Alligator mississippiensis: one gene and its partner. The protein of the gene in region 2 purifies or fractionates together with the protein of the main gene of each other region. This does not show direct contact. Links are inferred from orthologs where the notes say so. Each region holds a gene or a part of one and is shown on either strand. Other genes may lie near its edges.

Region 1 (6,920 bases), on a different chromosome or scaffold from region 2:
CAACCCCCCCAAAAGGGCACTTGGCATTTGCTTTCGACACTCCCCAGCTTCCCCTCTGCTGCCAAGCTCATGCTGGGTTTCAACAGCTCGGAGCTGATGGACAGAGCATGTAAATAGCAGGCGAGGGGAGGAAGCGCTGGCCCTCGACAGGAACCCAGACGGCAGGGGTTATGCTCCTGAGCAGCAGGTAAACAACACTGGCAAGCGGCTGAGGATTGAATCTCTTTGCACCTCCTGTGCGGGTTTCCAGGAGGAGAAATCACTCGGCTGTGAAGTGCATGGAAACAATAACAGTTCAAAAGGCAGGGAGATAAACAGAGCCCAGCTAGACTTGCTGTCCCCGGGCCCTTCTCGTCCTTTGCTAGGAAGATGTTCTGCAATTCCCTGTCCCCTACAACCCTCTCCCTCATCCGTATTGGGGAAAAAAAGGGTTTGGAGCAGGAGCTGACTCAGTTCAAGACCACTATTGCTCAGCCTAAAGCACAGAGGAAGAGCCAGTGCTGGTTTACACCTCACCCATCCTGTTTACTTCACGGGGGCTGGCACAGGGTGTACACCAGAGTCTAAAATTGGGTGTACACCTAGTTCGCTGATGAAATCTAATCTACTTGGGACAGGAACATCAGGAAGAGATTGACTCCTCACCCATGCATAAGCCAAGGAGCAGGCAGGGCTCAGTACCACAAACTGCCAAGTGCCTTCAGCTATCCCGAATGCTTGCAGAAAAGGACAATTTTCTTGCCATTTTCCTGTTGGTCTAATAAAAAGTATCATTTTGGAACCAAGAGTTCTAGTTTTTTTGTATGTCTTCAGCTCCTATTGAATTTGCACCTTGGAAGAGCAAAATGAACTGACAACATGGACTTTCCTTTTGAGATTCATATTCCAGCCCAGGGCAGACAATACTGATATGCAAAACACTGGCCTTCTAGGGCTAGTCACAGATCTCTTATCCTACTGTAACCAATTAGCAAGAGACAGTAACATGGGAGGCAGATGACTGGCTTAAAAGAAACCAGAGGTAGTTTAGTCTGTAGGCTTCAGGAGCAATAGATCCTTCTCAGGTAACAGATTTTGACACGGTGGGACTAATGTAATCCTCATGGAAGTGATGAAGTTAGTGCTTGCAGGGAGACGCATTTGTTTGACCCCCTCAGCTGAAACTCATTGCCAAGAAGAAACCGTACTTGTAAAACTTCCCTTGCGCAAAGCGGAACAAGACTGTTCTGGCTCACAAAGAGCGGTAACCCGCAGCCATCCAAGAACTGTATCAGGCATCATCAAGAACAAGCTCTGCGGGAGAAACTCGCAGAACAGGACAGCTAAGGCCTCTCGGTAGCTCACATTAACTGTTTTGGAGACAAGGGTCTGAGGAAGTAATCAAGAGGTTGCACTTTTCTGAAGTGCACTGGATGTCCAAATTCTGCACTGATTATCTGAAGCACTCAGGGCTTACCATGCTCATCCAGGGTACCAGCCCCAACACCTACAAACCTCCTGTCGGATATCTAGTCCCCAGTGGGGAACCAAGACCTGGAATACCAATGCATCGTCTAGCAATATTAACATCCTCCAGAGACCTCTGTTTTCTAGGAAGAGGAAACGTCTCCAACTTGAGGAGACAAGACATTTCTTCTTTTCCTTTAACTTCTTGCAACAGGAAAAAAAACAAAACAAAACCAAGAGGGGAACTTCAGCTCCTAAGTATCCCAGCAGCATCCCACATCCCCAATCATGTAAGCACAGCCCTGCCTGGCTAACACCAACCCGAACAGCTATTTTAGTTTTAAATGTTCACCTTCAGACTCCAAGGAGGAAACGCCGACCTCACTGCAACTACGTCTTGCCCAGATCAGGCTTTCACCCCAGTATCCGATCTTTCAGAGCTGCTGAGCTCTTGCTTCTTACAGACACTCACACACGCGCCCCTCGCCCCTCCAAAATCAAACAGCAGGTGCCAGCATCGCAGTCATCGCCAAGAAGTTGGATCACCCAAGACTAGCAACGTTTGCCGACGCAAGTAGCCCCGTTCAGACTGCAAATCTGTGGCAGCATCATAGTCTCTAGAGTCCTGGTCCGGAGCCTAAAACCACAGACACACGCCGGTTCTCCCTCCGACACCGGTGCACATTTATCACAACATAATCCGTACGATAATCCCCACCCCTGCTACTGCGGTGCTGAATTAAGACGGTCAAGTCCTCAGAGCAGGGACTTGATCTTCACGGAGGCTCTGCAGGGTGCCGGGCACGCACCTCGCAGCCTGTCCCGAACGCAGGGCAGACCCCAGCAGAGCGAAGTCCCGGACCCCTGGGCCCCGCGGAGGCTGCTCTTGCGTCGTGGCAGCAGGGAAACACGGCGCGGGAGAGCTCGCACGTCTGCTCAGATGCCTTCAGGGGCACCGGCAGATGCAGCGACCTCCTTGCCGCCCCCCAATGGAGAGCGGGCAACGGGCGGGGAAGCAGGTGAACCCCGACAGCTGCCAGCAGGCAATGCCTCCGTCTCCCGTCTTCTCTCCCGCTCCTTTCTGGGCTGGCCGTCCCCTGTCATGCAAGGTGGGGACGCTGCCTGTCCCCCAAGGCTGGAGCCCTGAGCTCCCAATTGGGGGGGGTGGGGAGGGGTCTCCCTGCAGACTGCAGTGGTCGAGCAGGGGCGCAGACCCAGTGCCACCCCGGGGCACGGGCAGGGATGGGGAGCAGGGACCCTGGGGAGGTTAGCCTGGCAGGGGTAGCCATAGCAACCGGCCCCTCCATCCCTTCGCCGCGGTGCAGGGATGCAGCCCCCCGCGCCCACCTGCCCTCACCTCGCCTCGCCCGGCCCGGCCCGAACCCGCTCGCACGGCTTTGTTAGCGGCTCGCGGCTGCAGGAAAGGGAGCCGGGAGGAGGCGCGGGGAGCAAGGGCTCGGGCTGCACCAAAACCCCCGCTCCCCTGGGGTTTGTATTGCGACGCACCGTGCACGCTACCCCGTGCCGTGCCGTGCCGTGCCGTGCCTTACCTGCAGCGCGCGGACATCGCGAGCCGCCCGCCCGCCGCGGCGCCCTGCCCACAATGGGAGCCGGCTCCGCGCGCCCCTGCCCAGCCCGCAGGTGACATCATCCCCGCCCCGCCTGATAGGGTACAATGTGCAACGCAATGCGCAGGCGCAGCTCCTCCGCACCCCCCCCCACACCGGAGCCGGCGGCGCGCGGCCTGCTGGGAGTGGTAGTTCGGAGGCGGCGCCGCTGCCCGCCACCGCCCTGGAGGCGCGGACTACATTTCCCGCCCGCCCCTGAGGCGGGGCAGAGACGGCTGCGACCAGCTGCACCTGGCGGCCCCGGAGGGGTGGGAGAGGGGGTGTAGCGCCAGGGGGCGGGGTACACACACGAGCAATTACACACACACACACGCACACACACACACACACACTTTATACACACATACGACACGGACAACCCTGAGTCTGCAATGATCTCTATATACAGGAAACCATGTCTCAACATACATTCATATATACATATACATACACATATAGACATGTTTATATACCCACACATATATATATACACACACACACACATATATACATATATATATATATATATATATATATATAGACAGGTTTATACACCCACACACACATCTATATCTATACATATATATACACACACAAATATATATACAGTACATACATATATATATATATTTTATATATAAAAGGATCATTGCAGCCTCAGGCTTGTCCTGTCTCCTCTGTGAGGAGATTATTATTATTTTTTTTTAATGTTTCGGTGTTGCAAGCCAGATTGGCCAAGTCAATTCCAAATCCGTGAGCCAGCCCAGAGCCGTAAGCGGCCCTACTACTGGCAAACATCCTCCACCCCCCTGGGGCTTCAGATGTTTCCAAATCCTTTGGCGGGCATCCTACTTGCAGGCCCAAGCCCGGAGGCTCTGGGGTTCGGATGCCCCTGAGTTTTGCTTGCCCTCAGCCGTAAGGCCCCAGGAGGAGTCTCCCCTTTCCATAAAGTGGGCATAAAGCCAAGGTTAACTATGCATTACCTACACGGGTACTATCCCATGCCACCAGAGCAGTCTTTCCTGAGGACGTGCACAAGAGCTGCCACTGACTGCCTCAGACCACCGCTGCGTCCTGCCCAGTGCCGTGTCACCCCGGGGCAGCGAGCCGAGGCTGGAAGGGAGAGTGAGCGGGGTCTGAGCAGGGTTTCCACCCCTGTTCCTCTCCCCCAGGCAGCTGCCAGCATTTCAGGGCTAGAAGCTGTGACTCAGAGGCTGTGCCCCTCATGCCCAGGCTTGATAGCCACAAATGCTCCTTTCCTCCACACTGTCCAATCCCTTTTTGAAGCTGTCGCCACCAGTTCCACACTTTAATGATACATGGTGTGAAAAAGCATGGTAGCAGGGGGGTTGCACTGGGGCACTTGCACCCACTTTGATGCCTGCTCCGCCCATGGCGCAGCTGGGAGAGAGCTAGCTGAGCTCTGGACTGCAGGATTCCTGGACCGCTGGCTCTTGACCATGTAAGACTCGATGAACCCCTCATTAGACTTGAGGCACCCCCTGTGCAGCTTTGATGAACCAAGTAGCACCCCCTTTTAAAGACTATTTTATATTTTGCTGTGCATGTCTCCATCTAGAATTTTGCAAAGGCGGGTTGCAGATGGTGAGGTGCATTATCCCGTATGAAACAACACATGTTTTTCTCCAGTTAAAAAAATAAATGAGAAGCTTTACTAATATTCTACTCATACACAAGTAATATCAGCAAGTACACAAGCAGATACAGGGGAGAGTTAACCAGCAGGTAGCCACCAGCCAACATACAACAAACCAACCAGCACAAATCTACAGGGTAGATTCATTACTCATTGGTTAGGCAGAAGGCAGGGCACATTAGAGATCAACTGGCTGAATCCAGGCAGACTCCAGTCCAGAGAGATCACAAGCTAAGGCTATGATACTGCCAATGCTTACAAACATCCCTGACTTTATATGTGAAGAGGCCGCTGGATTCCAACGGGGCTGTAATCATGCATAAACATGGCCAAGTGCACAAGTGTTTACAAGATCAGGACTTTGGTTAGGACTAGATGCAGCAAATGCATGGGAAAAAACCCAGGAAGGAAAGGATGAGGTTAAGGTAGAATGAGCCAGTTATTAGACCTCACAAGACCTCCTCAGGTCACCACCTTGCTAGCCAATGCCAGCAGATAGTGCTTTGCAGACATTTGTCTTAAGAAGGATCTGAAGTCAGAGTCACATAGTGAATCTTCCCAGGGAGCTTTTTCCAAATGATATGAAGGAAAAAGCCCCAAACATCAAGATAAAAGCAACTTGACAACCTGAATTTGAAATTCCTTTTTCCAATCATCATGTGGGATGTGCAAATAAAAAGGAGGGTCATATACAAGCCAGATCAATATCCAAGGTGCTTTTAGCACGGTCCAACAAGATTGTCCCAACCACCAATGTTCTCTGGATGTGATCTTATGTTTTATAAATCACTTTCAGAAGTTTCTACTCCAAGTCAGCCTGCGGTCCTGAAACATTGGACTATGGCCGACGCTCCATTTGGGCTGAAATAACCTTTTTTGGGCAAGAGGTGCCTGTAGAGTGCCTCTCAGGTCACACGGGAGAAATAATGGTACATTTTGGAGCAGATCAAATTCAAGCTCAAATCAATGGTATGCAAACACGGCAAACACACTTTTGGTGTGGGAATCAAGCTTCTCAACTCTTGCGTTACCTTCCTTAGTCATGTTAGTCAGAAGAAGTACAATGAGCCAGAAGAGGAGACGCGCCCAGAAGAGGGATTATATTTCATATGTGGGCAGGTACATAACCAAGAGATGTAAGGAGCGCTAGTGATGGGGCAGTAAAAAAGAAGGGAGGAACTTCCTTGTGAGAGTTAGCGCAAGGGGTATATACACAACATGGTGTAATACAGAAAGAGCAGCTTTAATGACCCTAGCAGGCCTGCCTTTGGTACAAAACTTACAGTCCTTTTTCTTGGGAGCAGCAGCCAGAGGCACCAAGATCAGAAGAATGAACCGTTTATACGCATGCCTATCTATCTTACCCAAGGCTTACCATTTCCCAGAAGACTTGGGAAGACACCAGCTGCTTGAGACACTCCTGCAGGGCTTGCCTGTCTGTCCATGTCAGTCTGTTTCTCCCACGAACAGCTCAGTGACAGCTCCCTTTCCCACTTGCTCTCTCCAGGGAGTCACCTTAACTGTTTAATAACTCTCTAAGCTCCCAAACTTGCCCAACTAGCTGTGTGACTTGACTGAGGCCTGGCAGTAGCATCTCCCTAGTTAATAAGGGCTGGGCTGTTCTCTTGTAATTGCCTCTCAAGAGTTTGTTGAGAGGCTGGTTATGGTATTTAGGGCTATTTAGGGCTACTGTGTTCCTTTGCTCTTCATTATTTCTCACACACACCCCCGCCCCCATTATTAAATTAATACAGCCATACAGGGCCATGTATTTAATAACCCAGTATAGCCAGATAGGCACGGTCTCAAAATAGCAGGCACAAAAGTATTACAGATCATTATGTATTACAGATTATGATGCAGTGGCTACCACATCTCTGCCACATCTCCCTAGTCTTCCATTATGAGAATGAGCATTTCTGTTCACACACACTACCTGGGGAATAATCCACGGTGCTTTACGGCACTTGTTATTTGATACTGTTTATTGATTTTTTTGCATAACTAGATCAAATCACTTTCTCTCTGCTGGAGAAAATAGCTTCTGGTTTTATATTTGGAACAGTGTATTAAGCCCATCTCAGAGTTAGATGTTAGGTACTCACTAAAGCCTAGAAATGTTCTCGGAGCTAGACACATGTCTGATCAATAATTTTATTATCCTTTGGGCATCGCTTTTCTGTGCCGCTGAAATGAAATTCAAGTTTGCA
Region 2 (6,965 bases):
TAAAAAGCACCCCCGGAGGGACACTAAATCCTCCGAGCCCAGACTGCTGCAGTGCCCCGGCAACCAGAAGTGACCCCCAATCAGCTGGAAACGTCCCAGACCGACTCCAAGAGAAACCAGCCGCGTGTTTCGGGGAAAGCAGCGACTCAAGTTTTGCCGGGCTGGTCTCAATGTTTGCACATCTGATCGGTGACACGGGGTTTGGCAAAGCGAGAGAGTGATTTCATGGACACGCAGCATCCTGCGCGCGGGACCCGCTGTATATTTACATCATGCACAAAGGGCCCTGGCTGACAACCCATGCTCCAGCGAATAATTGTTGTTCACAATTAATGCAAAGAGAACAATCCAGTTCCCACAGAAGCCTGAAGTGCGCTCCCCACCGTCCCCACAGGCGCTCCTTTGTGCTTCTTGAGCTCATCGCAGCCAGGCCCCTTCCCTTTCTTCAGGGCCTGTGAGTTTCTCTACGCCCTTCCCTCTCCTCCCCCCAGCAAGACAAACACAGACAGTTTTAAGGACGTGGGGTACTACATCTTTGGCAAGAGCCGGCTGGAACAGGTGGCTGATTCACTCGTGGTCAGACACGGGCTGCAGCAGGACACATCGGGCTCCCTCGTGAGGAGCCATCGCCGTGCGCTCACCGCCAAGGGCATTGCCGCTCAAAACGCGAGGCTCTAATGCAACAGAAAACATCTTGTTACTTTCAGTTTCAGGATTTAGACATTTCCCTTGCAGTTCAGGAGTGCCGGGGCGTGCAATCCAGCAAGCGGAACAGCTCGGGGCCTGACCGAGGACAAAAGTGAAATGAGCTAATAGTTCACCCCCGTGGCAGAGTCCTGGGAAATGCAGAAAGCAAGCAGAGGAACCTGAGATTTTAAAGGGTGTCTGTGCCTGAAAGCTTGCAAAGAACAATTTTTCCAACTGTTTAGTTGGTTTAATAAAAGATATCACATCTACCCAAAGAACCTGGTCTGCCTTGGCATTTTAAAGACACTTTCTGTTCTAAAAGTGCTTGGATCACTTATGCCCGCTTATGCCCCCAAAACTAACACAAGCAAGGAACCCTCTTGCCATTTTAATCCAAATGTCCCTTAAAAAACAATGTGAAGACTATCTCTGGAGGACAGGAAAAGGTCCCCCAGGGTAGGCCATGCAGGAAGCCTCTCTCCACTCAGGACTGATTAGTCTCTTGGCAAGAGGCAACGAGAGCTCACGTGAGCGTTAAACATCCTTTCCTCACTGCTGAGCTCATGCTTCTGGTTTCAGAGCTGCGGCTGCCAACTGAACTTTGCTCCTTTATATGACACGATGCTGAGGAGGAGAAGCAAAAGTTTTCTTCCCCGGCTGCCAAACCAGTCGGACGGCTTTAAGGATTTGATTTGAGCAGGACCCAGGTTGAAAACCTTGCAGAGCATGCAGCGTATGGGGCAAATAACAAGCAGCACTCTTTCCGCGCACCTGGCTGGAGAGCAGGGCAGCCTGCCCCCATTTCTGACCCTCTGCAGCTCACATTACATTCGCATGTCATTCCCGGAGGAATTGTCCCACGTGCCTTTACCCACGGGCAGCAATGCCACGGACTCTTCCGCCTACCACATTGCAAGAGCATGTCCAGTGACCAAAATCCTGGCTACACAGGTGGGCAAGGCCAGTGTTATGTCAAAAAGACAATCAGTCACCCACCAAGCAGGACCCAACTTGACGCTAGAGGCAATCTTGCCCCTCCGTGCACCCCAGGGTGCTGGCTACAGCAGCAAGGCAGAGGCTGGCGGCAGGACTGGTTTATGCCAGAGTGGGGGAGGTCTGCTGGGCAGGATGTGAGGATTACTCCCTGCTCCAAGAAAGGCTGCAAGGCCAGTGCTTCCCGAGGAAGCTTTGCTGCAAATCCCCTCTGAACGTGGGTGGCTGCAGCTCTGCTGGGGGAAGTTCACCCACTGCTACGCATCCGCTCCAGATAACGGAGCGCAGGCCCCAAATCCCACGGGACCCCGCTCGGCTGTCATCCGCATCCGTTCCCAAAGGGGAGCTGCTCAAAGAGACTAGCGAAACATTCCCGTCCCCCCACCTTACAGCTCGAGACCTGAGCCACCGTCTTCCCCACCAGCCTGTGCCGAGGGCAGGCTCCCGAGTCCCCATCGCACTCGCGCCCCAAGGAGCAGGTCGCGCCGCTCACAGAGCCGTCAGGGCCACGTTAGAAATAAATAGCTGAAGGCAGCCCCTTCTCACAATCGCTTGCTTAGGAAAGAAGACACTTCACCTCCCTCTGGCTAGGCGCCCCTGTCCCAAACCTCAGCTGATCTCAGTCCGGCGGCCCATCCGGGTGCGTCCTTCTGCTTCAGGAAAACCCACCTGTCCGGCGCAAGCAGGAGCTGGCAGAGCTTTGCTCGCCCGCCCGATACCCAGCGGGCAGCAGGGATGGCGCAGGGTTTGCCAGCAGGAACAACTCTTGAAGCCAAGGTTTGCAGCCCCCACCCAAGGCCCGGGAGCGTGCAGGGCTGTCCGTCCCGGCCAAAAAAGGAAGCTGAGCACAAATTGAGGCTGTTCGGCGCTCGGCACGGCCAAGGGAGGACACTTGGCACGGCCAGCGTGGAAGTGGAGGCGGTGCAAGCGGGCAGCTGGACCCTGGGAGAAGGGAGCGCTGCAGGGTGGGGGTGCAGGACCCGGGGGCTGGGCTGGGGTCCCGGGGGCTGCCCCGCGCCCGCGCCCCGGTACCTGCGCTCCGCTGCGCTGCGCTGCGCTGCGCTCCGCGGCGACAAGGGCTGGGCGGCCGGGAGGGGCCGGCGGGACTGACAGCGCCGCGCACCGCCCACCCGGCCGCGCTGCGCTGCCCCGGGCAGGCAGGGCAGGGGCTGCCCCGCGCCCCGCCGCCGCCGCCGGCCGGCTCGGGGCTGGCGCAGGGAGCGCGAGCTGCAGCCCGGGGCGGGACAGGCGCTAGCCCGTGCCCGTGGTGGTGCCCACCTGGCCCTCCGACGGCTCTCGCCCTGGCAGGGGGACCCGGGACTGCTAAGGCAGGTGTCCAGGTCGCACCCCGCAGCGAATGCACGCCCGGGAGCGAGCGCACTGGACATGCTCTTGCAACCTCCCACTTCCATTTCCAGGGGGAAGAGCTTGGCTTTGCGCCCACTTGGTGGAAAGGGGAGGCTCCTCCCTAGCTTGCTCCTGCCGCCCACCCTAGGGCTGAGGGCAAGTCAAAGCCGGGGGCATCTGAACCCCAAGCCCCCGGGCTCGGGCCTGCATGTAGGATGCCCGCCAAATGGTTTGGAAACATCTGAAGCCAGTAGCAGCAGGGCCACTTATGGTTCTGGACCGATTCGCCGATTTGGAATCGATTTGGCTGATTTGGCTTGGGACATGACAAGCTTTCCTTTAAAAAAAACCAGAAAAAGAAAAAATGCTGTGTTGGGCTGTGTTTAGTGCTGCCCAGAGCTCATCAGTCCAAGAGAGAAGGGTTTAAGGAGAGAGAAACCCAGAGGACACCTCCCTGGCCTGTATTCCTCCATGAGAAAAGCACTCGTGCCTCATTCAAGGGGTCGGGGGGAAAGTATACCCCAAGCCATCCTTAACCACAGGGGAGAGCGAGGGGTCCTTCCGCTGAGCAAGGCAGGTGGCTACACCTATACAAGTGTACGTCGTTTATAGGGTATCCAGGTTGTAGCCGTATTGGTCTAGAGGCAAAAGGAATAGGAACTCGTGGCAGAGGTGATGTCTTTCATTAGAGCAACTAGATGTTTGCAAAAACATGTCTTTATTTGCAAGCTTTCGGGCACAGGCCCCCTTCTTCTGGCAGAGGAGAGTACACATCTTTGCACAGCTTTGTACTCTCCTCCGCCTGAAGAAGGGGGCCTGTGCCCCAAACCAAACAAAGCTGGATTTTTATTTTTTTTTTTTGCAAATATCTAGTTGGTCTAATAAAAGGTATCACCTCTGCCATGAGTTGTGATTCCTGGTGTCATTTATACACATATAAATGTGTATGTCATTTATGCACATAAATATCAGCCCCTGAGGCAGGAACCAGATGCCGACCGTGTCATGCTCTGCTGGCTGCAGCATTTCCTGCCTTTATGGCCAGCTGCTGCCCCAAGAAGCCTGGAAAGCCTGATGCAATCCAATTTATTTGATTTTTAGGGACAGTTTTGTGCTGCACTGAGTCACCAGCGGCAGGGGGAGCAGGAGGGGCTGTGAACTCCACCCCGAGGATACAGCACGGGCTTCGTCTCGCAGCTAGGCCTTTGCCTCAGGGGAGAGGAGGAATTAAGGATTAGACATTTACTGTCATGGAATCAGAACAGCAACTGTGCCCGCTCGCTCGGACAGTCATGACCAGGACCAGCGCTCTTCAAGGCGAAAGCCAAGCTCCAGCCGGGACCTGGGAGACGGCCCCTCGGTCGTGTGCCGTGGGCTTGCTCGGGAGCAGCAGGCATTGCCGGTCACTGATGGAGTCGCGGGAGACTAGCTGGGCCATTGCTCTCTTCTGGGAGCAGCCGTGGGGCAGGGGGCTCGGCCTGCCGTGATGCCTCTGCAGGGTTGCATCTAGCTTTGGGTCAGCGTTTCCCAACGTGTCCGGCTATGCACACGGAGCCAGCAACAAGCAGCAGGGGGAAAAAGAGGCCAAGAGCACTTCATGGTTTCTTTTTCTGATGTCTCGCAGGAAACGTTCACCTGCTTTTGTTCTTACCACGGACAGAAAGGGACAGCCAGACACAAGAAATCGCCAGGCTCCCCCAGCGTGAACCCGCTCTGGCAGCCCAAGGCTGTTGCACCAACCCCGAGTGAGCCTCAGCTCTCCCCCCGCACAGGCCATCACCGATCTCATCCTCGCGACCAGAACTGTCTGTCACAGGGCCCCGGGAGCTGCTGTCATTGCTGACGGCCGCGCCAAGAGGCCCCGTCTGAGATCAGGGCCCCTCGTTCTCACGCGCCGCTCTGCAGGACAGGGCCTCTCTGTTGCTCGAGGCCGAGGCAGACAAAGGGACCGAGGAAAACAGAGGTCCTGTCACGCCGCCAAGCAGCACGTCCTGGGCTGGGCTCAGCTTTGCTCAGGCCCTTTCTGCTCATTTGCACCCTCCAGAGCTAACCCAGCCCCTGTCCTACCAGCAAGGCAACCTTTCCTCTGCCACCTCAGCCTGCACAGTGCCCCACGGGGCTCGCTCCCCACTGCCTGGTCCTTTGTGCCCCCATGCATGTGCCTTGCCCCTCGTCTGAATGTTTCTAACAGAGCAAAATGAGGGCTGGAAGGGACCTCAGGAGATCACATCTAGTCCAACCCCCTGCTCAAACCAGGAGCAGCCCCAGCAACATCATCCCAGACAAGGCTTTGTCCACCTGGGTCTTAAAAACTCACAGGCTTGCCCTGGTCTCACATTGGGTCACCTGCAGCAGTAGCAATGGAAACCCCGGTCCAGACCTGTGCCTTGCTGCACTGGGGGCCGCGTCCCCAAGTCAGAAGCAGTCTCTGTCCCCCAAACAGTTCACTGCTGCTTTTAAGGTGGGTGACAAGTGGGTGAACAAGCCATGCAGGTAGAAGCAGGGGTAAGGACCCACTTAGTCGTGCCAGCGATGCGTGGAGGGGCTGCGTCATGTTCCCCCTTTGCACAGGGATTTGTTGGAGGAGGGATGAAGCAAAGAGTTACATTTTTATGCACACATACACACATGTATGCACACACATGTACACACACACCGGCAGTCCCAGCTGCAGGGCTGTGCGCTGGTGACTCAACTGGCAGGAAAAGCCAGCCCCGGAGCCTGGGGGTGGGGAGCGGGGTGCAACAGCTCCCAGCCTCCTGCCCTTCCCCGTCCCTGTGCACTGTACCAGCAAAGTGCTCCTGGCATGGACACTAGTGGCAAAGCCACACCAGGCCCCCTGGCAGGTGAGACAAGCTGGGCATTGGAAGTGCAAGTGCACCTGTCCGGTGCATCGGCACGGCCAGAGCACCAGACAGCAGGCAAGGGAAGAAGCAGCGACCGAAGGGCCCGGGAGAAGAAGGCAGCAGGGAGGTTTTCCACAGGCCCTGGCATTTCCAGCTCCTGCTCCTTCCAGTGCTGCGGGGTCAGGAAGCTGCTAGGAGGGGGAGACAGCGGCCACGCCTGAGCTCACCCGGAGGAGGGGAAAGGAGAGAGCCACCCTGCCTCGAGTCTCCTTGCCCTGGCTGGGGTCCCGGGGAGTCTCCAGCTCCTCCCATTCCTGAGGCTTTCGGCTTTGCACTCCTCGGCTCCCAGCCCTGTTTGCACTTGGACTCTGCCTCCCATGTCTCACCTTTGGGAAAAAGAGGCCTGGAGCAGGGCCAGGGCAAGTTTGGGCCTCCCCTGCTCCGTCCTGCCCAAGCTCAGCCAGGGTTTGCTCCCCCACCGCCTCCCAAGGCCCTCCACTCCATATGTCACAGGGCTGCTGGTGGCTGCCACAGGCACCTGTGCATTGCACACAGATAATGTGTGCGCCGGGGCTGAACTAACACGGCCCTGGGAACCTCACAGATGCAGGCGTCTGAGGTCCCGGCCTCGGGGACATGCTCACTGCAGTGTTGTAAAAGACCAAGCAGCAGCTCCGGCTGGATCAGGTGAGTGCAAGGATCAGACATCAGCTCCCCTTCTCTGGTCCTTGGCGTGATATCTGCACCCCGGCAGGGCGGCTGCCAAACACATGTGTCTGGGTTGGCTGGAGCCTTATGGCCCATACACTGGTACAAATGATAATGCCTGGTGTGGGCGCGTGGAGAGTTAGACCCAGCACATAGAGAGCCAGGACCTGATGAGATTCACTCCCTTCCCGCGTAATGGGGACAGGACCCATCTCACACTGGCATGTTGCAAGCTGGCGATGCCTTTCCTCCCAGCACCTCGGAGTGTGAGGCCACGTCCCTCCACCCTGCCCCTCGGGCCGGGCACTGCTCCGTGCAGCCTGGCACCAAACCATCAAACGGAGGGATTTGTAACCCGTTAGCTAAACCGTGGCAAAAGGCCGT

The links.
Region 1: the proteins of RHOC (region 2) and DAAM1 purify together in Homo sapiens (affinity purification with mass spectrometry; 3 studies listed by BioGRID and IntAct, counting the BioPlex papers as one, with this or other methods). This does not show direct contact. The link is inferred for Alligator mississippiensis from reciprocal best matches to the Homo sapiens genes RHOC and DAAM1.

Annotation. Positions count from the first base shown.
Region 1 is NC_081825.1:295,939,566-295,946,485, reverse strand, and holds the start of DAAM1 (disheveled-associated activator of morphogenesis 1), read right to left. Parts: upstream 3,095-6,920; 5' UTR 2,997-3,094; intron 1-2,996. UniProt on the Homo sapiens protein: Binds to disheveled (Dvl) and Rho, and mediates Wnt-induced Dvl-Rho complex formation. May play a role as a scaffolding protein to recruit Rho-GDP and Rho-GEF, thereby enhancing Rho-GTP formation. Can direct nucleation and elongation of new actin filaments.
Region 2 is NC_081837.1:44,752,901-44,759,865, forward strand, and holds the start of RHOC (rho-related GTP-binding protein RhoC), read right to left. Parts: upstream 3,062-6,965; 5' UTR 2,959-3,061; intron 2,800-2,958; exon of another isoform or gene 2,713-2,799; intron 2,631-2,712; exon of another isoform or gene 2,350-2,630; intron 1-2,349. UniProt on the Homo sapiens protein: Regulates a signal transduction pathway linking plasma membrane receptors to the assembly of focal adhesions and actin stress fibers.